Macaca mulatta: one gene and its partners. The protein of the gene in region 2 purifies or fractionates together with the protein of the main gene of each other region. This does not show direct contact. Links are inferred from orthologs where the notes say so. Each region holds a gene or a part of one and is shown on either strand. Other genes may lie near its edges. The genes, in order: ABHD12, SLC39A12 and NAT14.

What was found.
Region 1: the proteins of SLC39A12 (region 2) and ABHD12 purify together in Homo sapiens (co-immunoprecipitation; 3 studies listed by BioGRID and IntAct, counting the BioPlex papers as one, with this or other methods). This does not show direct contact. The link is inferred for Macaca mulatta from reciprocal best matches to the Homo sapiens genes SLC39A12 and ABHD12.
Region 3: the proteins of SLC39A12 (region 2) and NAT14 purify together in Homo sapiens (co-immunoprecipitation; 3 studies listed by BioGRID and IntAct, counting the BioPlex papers as one, with this or other methods). This does not show direct contact. The link is inferred for Macaca mulatta from reciprocal best matches to the Homo sapiens genes SLC39A12 and NAT14.

Annotation. Positions count from the first base shown.
Region 1 is NC_133415.1:58,819,628-58,823,274, forward strand, and holds part of ABHD12 (lysophosphatidylserine lipase ABHD12), read left to right. Parts: intron 1-1,221; coding exon 1,222-1,327; intron 1,328-3,647.
Region 2 is NC_133414.1:19,527,004-19,530,650, reverse strand, and holds part of SLC39A12 (zinc transporter ZIP12), read right to left. Parts: intron 426-3,647; coding exon 144-425; intron 1-143. UniProt on the Homo sapiens protein: Uniporter that promotes Zn(2+) import from the extracellular space to the cytoplasm across the cell membrane. The transport activity is temperature dependent. May play a role in neurulation and neurite extension.
Region 3 is NC_133424.1:67,829,559-67,833,247, reverse strand, and holds NAT14 (putative N-acetyltransferase 14), read right to left. Parts: upstream 2,933-3,689; 5' UTR 2,863-2,932; intron 2,463-2,862; 5' UTR 2,415-2,462; coding exon 2,343-2,414; intron 1,693-2,342; coding exon 1,144-1,692; 3' UTR 536-1,143; downstream 1-535. UniProt on the Homo sapiens protein: Probable acetyltransferase. May act as a transcription factor that regulates the expression of coproporphyrinogen oxidase by binding to a promoter regulatory element.

The DNA of each region.
Region 1 (3,647 bases), on a different chromosome or scaffold from region 2:
GGCTAGATGTGCAGTGTGCCACGCGGACGTGGGAGTCATGCAACCCCTGTCTTCACCAGAGACAGCTGTCAGCAGCAGAGCTTCCCCAGGGGCAGGACCCGCCAGAGGGAAGCCAGGCCCGCACTGCTCTCTGTCACTGCCTCTTTTGGGAGTTGCCATTTTATAAAGCAGAAAAATCCCACCTCAGGGTTCATGGGTTTATTTTAAATTTTTTATTTTTCAGTTAAACTTATTTTAAAGTTGTGTTCACCAAAAGCAATAAGACTATAATGGTATATAAGGAAAAAATTGCCCCCATTCTCCCCACACACACACTTTGAAGCTATATGAGCAGCCTGGCTTCTGTCTTTCTGTATTTCCTCCCAGCCACATGTGGGGGTTGTGTTTCATTGGCATGTTTTTACAATAGCAAAGTGGGGCTACCGCACCTGCACCCACAGTCACCTTGCTCCTCTCTGCCCGCAGGTCCTGGAGGTTCCTCCAGGTCTAAGGGCCTCATGGTCTTCCACAGTGTGGAGTGCTGGTTAATTCACTTGCTGTCCTGCTGGCAGATGACCTGGTCAATGTAGGACTTCTGCTGGGCCATTGCACTGACTTCACTCTGCTCTGCATGGGTCCTGTGGATTCATCCCTCTTGCTGCCCCCACACCTCACCTTCTGCTGTCTTTTCTGTGTTAGGCAACAGTCCTAGAAACTTTGGAATCCCCTTTACCTTGTTTGCCACCCTACGCTCATCAGATCCTTTAGCGCCATCCCCTTTCCTGCTGTGTATGTCCCACTCCACTAGGCACCTGAGTTATTCGCAGGCTCAGCCTCCCTAGCCTCCCTCCTGGCTGGCCCATCCTTAAGACCTGTTGGGGATCTTTCCTTCCCTTACTTGCATCTTCTCACACCTTGAGTGACCTTAGACCTTAGCGTTCCAGTCTCTACACAGACCTCGCCCTCACTGCAGTATCTGTCCCTGCCCATGCTGGCCTCAGCCCATACCCTGCCTGAGGCTGGGCCTGCAGGTCTGGCACCATTGTAAGATTGCACAGGAAAAGGACTTGGTGCTTTCTGAGAGCTTCTGCAGTGTGTGCATGTGGGTGTGCATGTGTGTGTGTACGTGTGGATGCATATGTGTGCATGTGTGTGAGTGTGCATGCTTGTATGCATGTCTGTGTGTACGTGTGTGTATTAATCCACCAGTAATCCTAATTTCCATCTCTTTATTTCCTACAGTAAGGGTTCCCTATTTCATTGATTTGAAAAAACCACAGGATCAAGGTTTGAATCACACATGTAACTACTACCTGCAGCCAGAGGAAGATGTGACCATTGGAGTCTGGTAAGTACTGGTAAGCTCTGTAGCCCTTCCAGCAGCAGGAAAAGGCCCTACATGGGTGAGCTGGTGCTGTCTTTGACACTGGCCTCTGAAATGTTGTTCATTTTTATCTTCACCTCTTCCTTTCCTAAAGGAAAGATCTCAGTACATTTGATCCTAGTGTTGAGGGATTCAGTGACTTTAAACTCTATTCCCAGGCTTTCAAAACAGCAAAGGCTTTGTGAACAGATTATTATTTTTAGAGAACCTTGTTTCTAGGAAAAACAAACAAAGAAGCTATAAACAGGATGTAAGTGGCCGGCACAGTGGCTCACACTTGTAATCTCAGCACTTTGGGAGGCCGAGGCGGGTGGATCATTTGAGTCCAGGAGTTTGAGACCAGCCTGGGCAACATGGTGAACCTGTCTCTACTAAAAATACAAAAATTAGCCAGACATGGTGGTGCACGCCTGTAATCCCAGCTACTTGGGAGGCTGAGGCAGGAGAATCACTTGAGCCCAGGAGGAAGAAGTTGCAGTGAGCTGAATTCACACCACTGCACTCCAGCCTGAGTGACAGAGCAAGACTCTGTCTCAAAAAAAAAAAAAAAGAATATAAGGGAAGAATCGCAAACACTCTTTTGAATATATCTTCCATCCAAGCGCGGTAGCTCACGCCTGTAATCCCAGCGCTTTGGCAGGCCGAGACAGGGGGATCACTTGAGATCAGGAGTTCGAGACTAGCCTAAACAACATGGCGAAACCCCGTCTCTGCTGAAAAAAAGTACAAAAATTAGCCGGGCGTGGTGGCACGCACCTGTAGTCCCAGCTACCCGGGAGTTTGAGGCAAGAGAATTGCTTGAACGCAGGAGGCAGAGGCTGCAGTGAGCCGAGATTGTGCCACTGCACTCCAGCCTGGGCAACAGAGGGAGACTCTGTCTCCAAAAAAAAAAAAAAAAATATATATATATATATATCTTTTCCAAGAAGTGAAAACAGCTTGATTTCTTTTCACATATAGCTTCGGTGATGGTGTTGGCTATCTTCTAAGTATTTACTTTTTTAAGCCATAAATTTACGTTGGACATAAGCCTCGTGACTTCTCTGTGTCTCCTTGGAATACATTTTAATGTTTTCTTCTGTACATAAATGGTGCTTCTGAACAACTGAATTAAAATCGACCAACCTCACTGTGGCATTTCCCTTTTTCTCTGAGAAGTGATCCTGAATCACAGCCCCTTTATCTAGCTGAATTTATTTTTCAGTAGCCATAACGTCCCTTTCCGCTGTCTCAGAAAACCACTGTGTATGTGAGAAGCTTCTAAATGAAATGCTGTGAGTAGCTTCCCAGTGTGGATGAGAGAACATTCAGGCATTTCTAACAGTGGTCCTTGGTAAAGAACATAAAACAAGAAGAGAGATTTTTGTTCTTAGTAGTTGGTGCTAGGATTAAAGTCTTTTGTCACTTCCTGATTTGATTTAATCTAGCATTTACTGACCAACGTGTGACTGTGGGACTCTGGGTTTCTGTCTGAAGCGTGACCTGTTTTGCACAGAGCTGCTGAGTGGGACTTGGTCAGCCCTCTTCTTGGTTAATATGAGTCTGTCCTATTGCAGGAGGGTGTTTATGGTGGTAAGACGTAGGCTGGAAGTACTAACAACATTTGCATATATTATCAGTTACCAGAAAAGGTTTTGTTTAGTGATGCTAGTGGCAAGTCTCAAGGCGGTGCCACGCTGTGTGTTGCTGTGTGTTGGTGGGTGTGGCTGCTGCCTACTCTCATGCCCTAGGCAGTCACAATGACAGTGGGCCCTCAGGTAGCAGCGGGCCCAGCTCACCAACTGCCCCCACCATCACTTCATCAAACCCTCCCACCAGCTTCCTGAAAGGAGGGCCTCAAGGCCTAGCGTGAAGCCTGGGGGCCATACCTGGCCATGCCTGGCCATCGCCTGTCTGCTGAGAGAAGAGGCCCAGGAATGGGTTTCTCTGCTGGCTAGGAGTTCCCTGGCTCTTTGTCAGGAACCCAGGTTTGGGGTGGGCTGGCTACTGGAAGCACATCTGCTCCCAGCACCTTCAAAATGTGCCGTCCTATCCCTCAAGTTTATAACCGTGTGGGAGTGATGATCATAGTGACTAGATCCACCCCAAAATGTGATCCTCTTGAACGGATCAGAGACAGAAGTTAGATGAGATGCTGAAGCTTAAAATCTAGAAAATAAGAAGTTGGCCATTAAATTTTTTTTAAAGATTCTTGTCACTGTTATCCAGAATGAATTTGAAGAAGCTTTACAGAAAAGTGATTAATTTCGACCCTCCCCAGTGATTAACAATATTCGATTTGGCC
Region 2 (3,647 bases):
ATTTAACATCTCATAACCAAAACCCACAAATACTTACCTCCCTTAGAAGTTCTTGAATGTCTTTGAAATAAATAAGGAACAAACAATAAGGCTCTAGGACTGTATCTCAGTAGCAGAACCAGTTAGCCATTTTGCCTTCTTACCTGGCTTTGAGAAGTGTCAAAGTACTGCCTGGTGAAAGCCAAGATATCTTCTGTCTCATTCTGTGAAAGGAAAGAGGAGTCTTCATCCTGCCTGAGGCTCAGTAGGCTGTGTAGGTAAAATTTATACTCTTTATTACTCATGTTGAGCTTTGAAGAACAGATCTCTTCCTGGTGAATAATGTAATAGAGAAGGAGAAGAGAAACTCTCTGGACTACTTCTTCTCTAAGCTGATCTTCAAAATTTCCTCCAGCTATTAGTAATAGTGCATCTGGTTCAAAGCACTGTGGAAGAAAACAATGACAGCAACAAGAGAAACAAAACTTAGCAAATAGTTCCAGAACACTAATGACCACCAGGGTCTTTGCTACTTATCATTTTATAAATAGAAAGGAAAAGCAGGCAGGATCAATAGCCAGATTCAAAGAGTTGGACTCCCATATAACAATGATGCCCTTCCATGGAACCCTCTTTTTCCACTAAGAGTAATTCCTGACTCCAACTAGGGTGGCCACAAGTTGTTGACCTGTTGCCTGTGTAAAACAGATTATTCTTTGGCTTTTAAAGTGATGCCCATTTGCTTTTAGAACAAAATCCAAACTCCTGGCAATCTTCTTTTTGTTCTGGCTCCTGTCTACTCTACCCTTCCTTCTCTTAGCCTTAGTCCAGCACCTCACTTAACTTCTGCCCCTGTGATTTTATGTCAATTTCACCAAGTTCTTTCCCACAATCTTCCAGGTCTCCTTGTTCCCCTCATTCTTCAGGTTTCAGGCTAAAATGTCACCCTCTCACAACACCTTCCTAAAGATTCCCAACCTGCGTTCCCTAGTACAGAACTATCTGATAGAAATACAAGTCACACCGCAAATATGAGTCACATATGTCATTTGAAGTTCTTTAGCAGCAAGATTTTAAAAAGTAAAAAGAAACAGCTAAAAGTAACTTTTGTAATATTTTAACCTTATGTACCAAGATTAAATTATTTCACCGTGTAATCTAAATTTTTAAAATTAAAGATATTTTATATTTTTCTTCTTGAACAGTCTTTGAAAACTGGTGTGCATTTTATGCTTACTAGCACATCTCAGTTTGGATGAGCCACGAATCAAGCGCCCAACAGTTACATGCAGGCTAGTGATTACTGTGCTGGACAGCACAATTCTGGAATACACCATTTAAAAATTTTTCTTCATAGCACTCGTATTGTAAAATTGCTTTGTTTACTTGTTTATTCTCTCTCTTCTCTATGAGAACCAGTGGTCCATAAAGAGTAGATTTTGTCTGCTTTTTGCATAGGTCTATCCTCAGCATATAGCACGATATCTGGCACTTAAGAGGTGTAAAAATTTTACAAACGACTTCCATCTGCCCCTCTTCTAGCCTATTTAGGGAAATTGCCAAAAATGATTTTGTTGAAGGGAATCAGAACATACTGCCCCAAAATATGCCACCATAGCATATTGATTATTTTGAGCTGAAGGCAACTGAGAAACAGCAGGCATGGGAAGGATTCTCTGCCCTGCCCCTTACTATCTAAAAGCGGGGCATAAGTTTCCCATGAGAAAGGTATCCTTGCTGTATCAGGAAGAGGAGAACGTTCTTATCACTGGAGATGGGGAGTTAATGCTGAGATGAACCTATACAAACGAACCTTGCTAAAATAATCCTCCATTGGTATAATTGTTAAAAAAAAAAAAAAAAAATTTGGTTTCACATATATATTTCCTAGTCACTTTCCCACAATTTACCATCTCTAGTCCAAATTCACTTTTTTTCTTACTCTTGTCAGATCCCCACAATTTATTACTCTTTGTTTAAATGATTTATAACCCCCTGGGTCTAACCACTTCTTTGGAGTTTTCACTTTCTTTATGATGCCCCTATTCCACATAAAAATATTAACATCAAATAAAATGTGTGTGCTTTTTCTCCTGTTAATCCATCTTTTGTCCATTTAGTTCACAAGCCCCAGCTACAGAATTTAAGACGTTAGAGGAAAAGTCTTTCCTCCCCTGCACTGTGCTGCCTTATTGGTTTCACAAACCACAAGCACATGCCCAGCTCCTGCAATCTGAGAAGTTTATGTGGCATAAGGGATTTGGATAAGTGTTGTGGGACAGTGAGAAAAAGACACAGGAATCGTGGCCAGAAGCTTTCTCAGCAAGAGGGAAGCTGCCTTTCTTCAGAGACAGTTGGGGAACTCCTGAGAATTCTCACAGGATCTGAGAAGCAGCCCCAGGACACAGCCACAGAGTGAAAGCATTGAGAAACGCCTGTCCTGACTCCCAGACAGATTTGTGCCATGGTGGGGATATTGTACTACAATATATTTTAATCTAGTCTTCTTTGAAGTGGAAGTTTTGGGGGTTCTAATTTCAGGTCTGCTGTACAACCCACTGTGTAGCATCTGCTATGTAATCATCTGAGTCAGGAAGAAACAAATGTCATCCATCTCCAAATCAAAGCATAATCACATTCTTCATAAAACCACATAGACTTTAATCCCTCCTGAACCCAACTGCAGGGGGTCAAGTACTCAAACAGAGGGGACCCAGGGGTTCCACTAAGACCAACTCTCAATGTGGATATTAGGCTCCACTTCTAAAACCTCGGCATCCATTTTCTGTTCCCTAAGTAACCCAGAAGAAAAGTCCACACCTTGGTAGCTGATGGCAAGGCTGACACCAAGACCCAAAAGGCGAATCCATTGAAATAAAAGTGGAATAAAGCTATTCTCTGTACCAAATAACCTCCTGAAACTAAACTATTGGTACCATTAACTACAATTTGCTGGTAGCCATGTGCCCAGCAATGTGCAGAGTACCTTTTACATTCAGTTATGCCTTGCTGTATAATCTCATTGGTTCTGAAAAATGCCCAAAGTAATGAATTTTTTAGTAATAAGAAACCTATTTTATTATTTTAAGTGTGAGAAACAAAATGTCTCCGGCCTATGTAATAAGCCACCAAATATTTCTAAATATTTGATTTTTATAATATAAAGCAACTAGAAGACCAATTACTCAATTATTTAATGCACAACGAATTAATGCATACATTTGTGTACAGTATGCAAGGATATTGCAAGGAACATATGAGTTACATCTTTCTTCATGAGAAAAGTTTACCCATAGAATATGTGAAAACCAAGACTAAAGTGGTAAGAAACTTGCCCAAAGCTACACAGCTAATGGTGGAGAGCACTGTTAGTCACAATTCCTGCTCTTCCAAGAGCAGGACCCATTCTTTTATTCCTTCCTTTTGTGCCATGGAGAACACAGGCTGTGGACCCATTGACGTACTTGATGGGCAACCCCTCAACCAGTAATTTTCTCTCCCTCCTATTTGATGGGAATAGAGGTCAGTTAGGTGGCTAAGAGATTGGTCCAAGCCTAACATCAATAAGAACAAGGATATGGTACAACCAGAGCATGGAATGAGTTTATGTTATACTTTCAAGTGCTGCTCAGGTTGTTTGATGGGGCTGGGTAGGTAGTAAGAAGAGT
Region 3 (3,689 bases), on a different chromosome or scaffold from region 2:
AGACTGCTGCTAGGGTTGGGGCTTGGGCAGACCCAGGGGCTCTTGGTGCAGCAGCAAGAAGATTTGCAGCCAGACACCAGGAGGGACTTCCTGGGTTAGGAAAAGAGACTGAAAGACCCGTCCCTCCAGTCCTCCCCGTCACTGGTGGATCTGAGTGTGAAGCCCGCAGTCCCCAGCTGAGAGAGGAGAGTTTGAACTTCACCGTCCCAGAGGGAGCTGGGGTCGGGGGATAAGCAGCACAAGGGTCAAGGCTTGGGAAGGGGAGGGGCTCCACACACTCCTCCACACACTCACACACACCCCACTCCCTGCGCACCAGGCAGCTGTGAGGTGGAAAAAATTCGGTAATAGGGAGCGTGACTCAGAAGGGCTGGCAGGGCCCAGGGCTGCCCCTGAGCTCACAGCCTCCCCTTCTCCCAGTCCAGCACCGCCCCCCAACAATTAACGTTAACTGGGGAAAGGAGGAGCCAGACAGAAATGGGCGGGGGGTGTCCGGAGACAGACTGGGAAAGGCATCAAAGATGAGACAGGCACACAGCGGTTCCAGGCTTTATTAACAAACGGTGGAAAAAACCACATGGGTCTGGGGGAAGGGACAGGGCTGCCCATCTCAGCTCTCGACCGACCTTCCCGGAGAGGGGCCAGGCCTGGCAGCCCTGTGCGCCGCGCCCGCTAAGCAGTCAACCTTGTCCCCTCCAAGCACAGGCATCTGACCCAATCTGGGTCCCAGGGAGGCGGAGTCGCAAACCCTAACTCGAGGGCATATTGTGCTGGGCCTCCTCTCCCCCTCCCCAGATAGCTCTCCCAGGCTTGGGGCACAGACTTTGCAGACATCCACCGGGGAGATTTCTCAGTGCAGACAGAGCTGAGGTAGGGGTTTTGGAGAGGCTGACCTCGAGAGGCCCCTGAGGGCCAGGAAGGAAAAGGAGTCATTTCACTCTTAGAAGCTCAAACACTCCAGACCTCACACTGCCGACTGCCGGGCACAGGCCAGGCTCCTCCCTCGGCAGGCCTCTGTTTCTGGGCCCTGGGTGGCTGAGGACTCACCGAGGGAGAGCACGTAAAAGCACCTGCACACAGTAGGCGCTCTGCAGGTGCTGGCGCCCCTCCCTCCTTCCCTGCCCTGGCTGTCAGCCTGTAGCCTCACAGGTCTTTGCTGAATTCCCTCACCAGCGTGTAGCCCAGGCAGCCCCAGCCCCCCTCGGCCTGGTAGCCGCAGCCCTCCAGCATCCCCGCCACTCCCCAGGCAGCCACAGCCACGGGGACCACGAGCCGGGCCCGGGGCTCCCCCATGCCCCCAGCCCAGGCCCGAGCCCGGGCCTCCGCGAAGGCCAGCAGCCTCCTGCCCACGCCCCGGCGGCGGTGCCAGCGAGAGACAGACAGGCGGGTGACCCGGGCCCCGTCCCCTGCGTTCGTGCCAGGGGCCAGGGCCAGGACCCCACACACGTCACCGGAGCCCCGCACGGCCACCCAGGGCCCCCCCAGGCCACCCGGTGGAGGCAGTGAGCCCCATCGGGCCCGCAGGCCCAGCTTCACCGCAGTCACAGCCAGGAACACCGGCAGGAGGAGGGCCAGGGCGAAGGAGGCCAGGACAAAGCGCAGGCCGCTGCTGGCCGCCGCCAGGAGGAGCAGGGCCGGCGGCCGTGTCAAGGCATGGAGGGCCACGCGGTTTTCCGTGTCCTTCACGCCGGCCTGTGGGCAGGAGGGGTGGCTCAGCCATCCAAAACACTAGGGCCTCCTAGAGAGAGGTAGACCCTGCCCGGGGTGGGGCGAGGGCTCCCAAATGGGAAGGGAAAGCAGCACAGTCCGATGGTCACCAGTGTGGCACGCTGGGTGTGGAGTGAATGAACGAGAGTGAATGATGGATGGAAGAATGAATCAGGAGCTGTGGGGGCACTCAATTCAGTAGCAATGCCGCAGTGAGGCGCCAGGGAAGTAGGGACAGGGAGCCTGCCTCAGGCTGGAGTGGAGGCTGGAGGGGGGCTGCTAGGCTAGACTGGGGGGCTGGCTATGCTTTGAAGAGCTGGGGTCGGAGGCACAGAGCTGGCTGTTGCGCTGGAGTGCCGGGCCCCCTGGAGATGCGAGACTAGGGAGGGCGTTAGTGCTGCGGTCCCAGTAGGGCTGGGGGGTGAGCCCCCGGCTGCCACACCTGCTGCAGCTTTCAGCAGCACCTCCAGCTGCTGAACACCTTCCCGGCCCCCAGGGCGGCTGAGGACCGGGAAGAAAAGATCCCGCTCCGGGGGTTCAGGCTGGCTCAGGTGGGTGGGAGGGGGTGGCTGAATCCACTTGCAATGCCCCCGCTTCCAGCCACTCCTAGGCCCCCTGGGGCCCCTGCCTCTCACCTTCAGCATCTCCAGCACCAGGGGCTTCTCATCCTCCCTCATCTCCCGCACTGACAGGTGGCTGGGGGCCATGGCAGCCCCCAGGCCCCCGCCCCCAAGAAGGGAGCTGGCGTCGTGCACCTGGTGAGAACACAAGCAGGTCAGCGCCAGGGGGGCACCTCTGTCCCCAAAGCCCCCCGAGGGGTGGGGAGCAGCAGCAGCAGCACTTCCCCGATCAGGACAATGAGAGCCCTCGGGACCTACAAGCGAGGCTCTGGGCAGGACAGGCGCCCCCCACAATACTCAGCGACCTTGCTAGTCTCCAGGACCCCCCTCCCCCGTATTACTCAGCGATCTACACTCCTAAACACGCTGTGGACGCCCACACTTTGCAGCACGGGGCTCCCTCCCAGGCACGGGGCCACGAGCCCCCTCCCCACATGCCGGAGAACGGACCACGCTCGCTCCGCCCCGGTCCCCAGCGCCCCCTCCCCCACAGTCGTCCCCGTCCCGCGCCACAAGAACAAGGACCCGCAAGCACCTGCACGGGTCGCCTTTGGTCCTTTGACAGGGTTTCGGGAGCGGGTCTGGAGGGGGTCGTCGGCGGAAGTGACGTCAGACCGCGCGCGCTGGGGGCGGGGCGTTGCCCGCTGCGGGTCGTAGCAACCGTTGCTAAGCTCCCGGGAGGGCGGGCGGGGAGCAGTGACCCTGCGGCGGGCCGGGAGGTGACCTCTCCTATCCCTAGAGAAGGAGCAACGGGGAAAGGGGACCTGGGGAAAAAGGGCAGCGGGCGCCGGCAGGAGACGGGCGGCGGGCTGGGGACCAGCGCGAGCTCCCGCCCCACGTTCCCTCGTTGCTGAGCAACCTGAGCGCGGGGCAGCGATGCCCGCGGGTGGATTCTCATGGGTGCCGCGCTCAGCATCCCCCAGCCCAGCGGCGCCCCACCCCCCCATCCCCAGGGACCCCGTTCCCCCCACGGGGCGCCCGGGCTCGCAGGGCCCTCCCGCATAAGGATCCCCCTATTTCTCAGAGGAGGGGTGCAGCAGGGCGACCTACAGTGAACAAGTGGCGCTCCCTGGAGTCAGATGCCACCACCTCCCCACTGTAATGACCCCTGCGTCTTTTGGTTTCAGGACAGGGGAACTGAGCCCCACGTAGTGGCTGGCCCCAGGACGCTGACCCAGGACGCACGAGTTAAGACTCCACGCTCCCAGGCGGGGGCTAGGACCATGACTTTCCCCCTCCGCTCCCCTCAGGAAAACAGAACACAGGCGGGGAGACTCGGGTCTTTATTAGGCAAGGCCAGCCTGCAGCACCCCGCCCCGCCCCGCCCCGGCTGGCAGTGAGTCGGGGTCTCTGTGTGGGGCG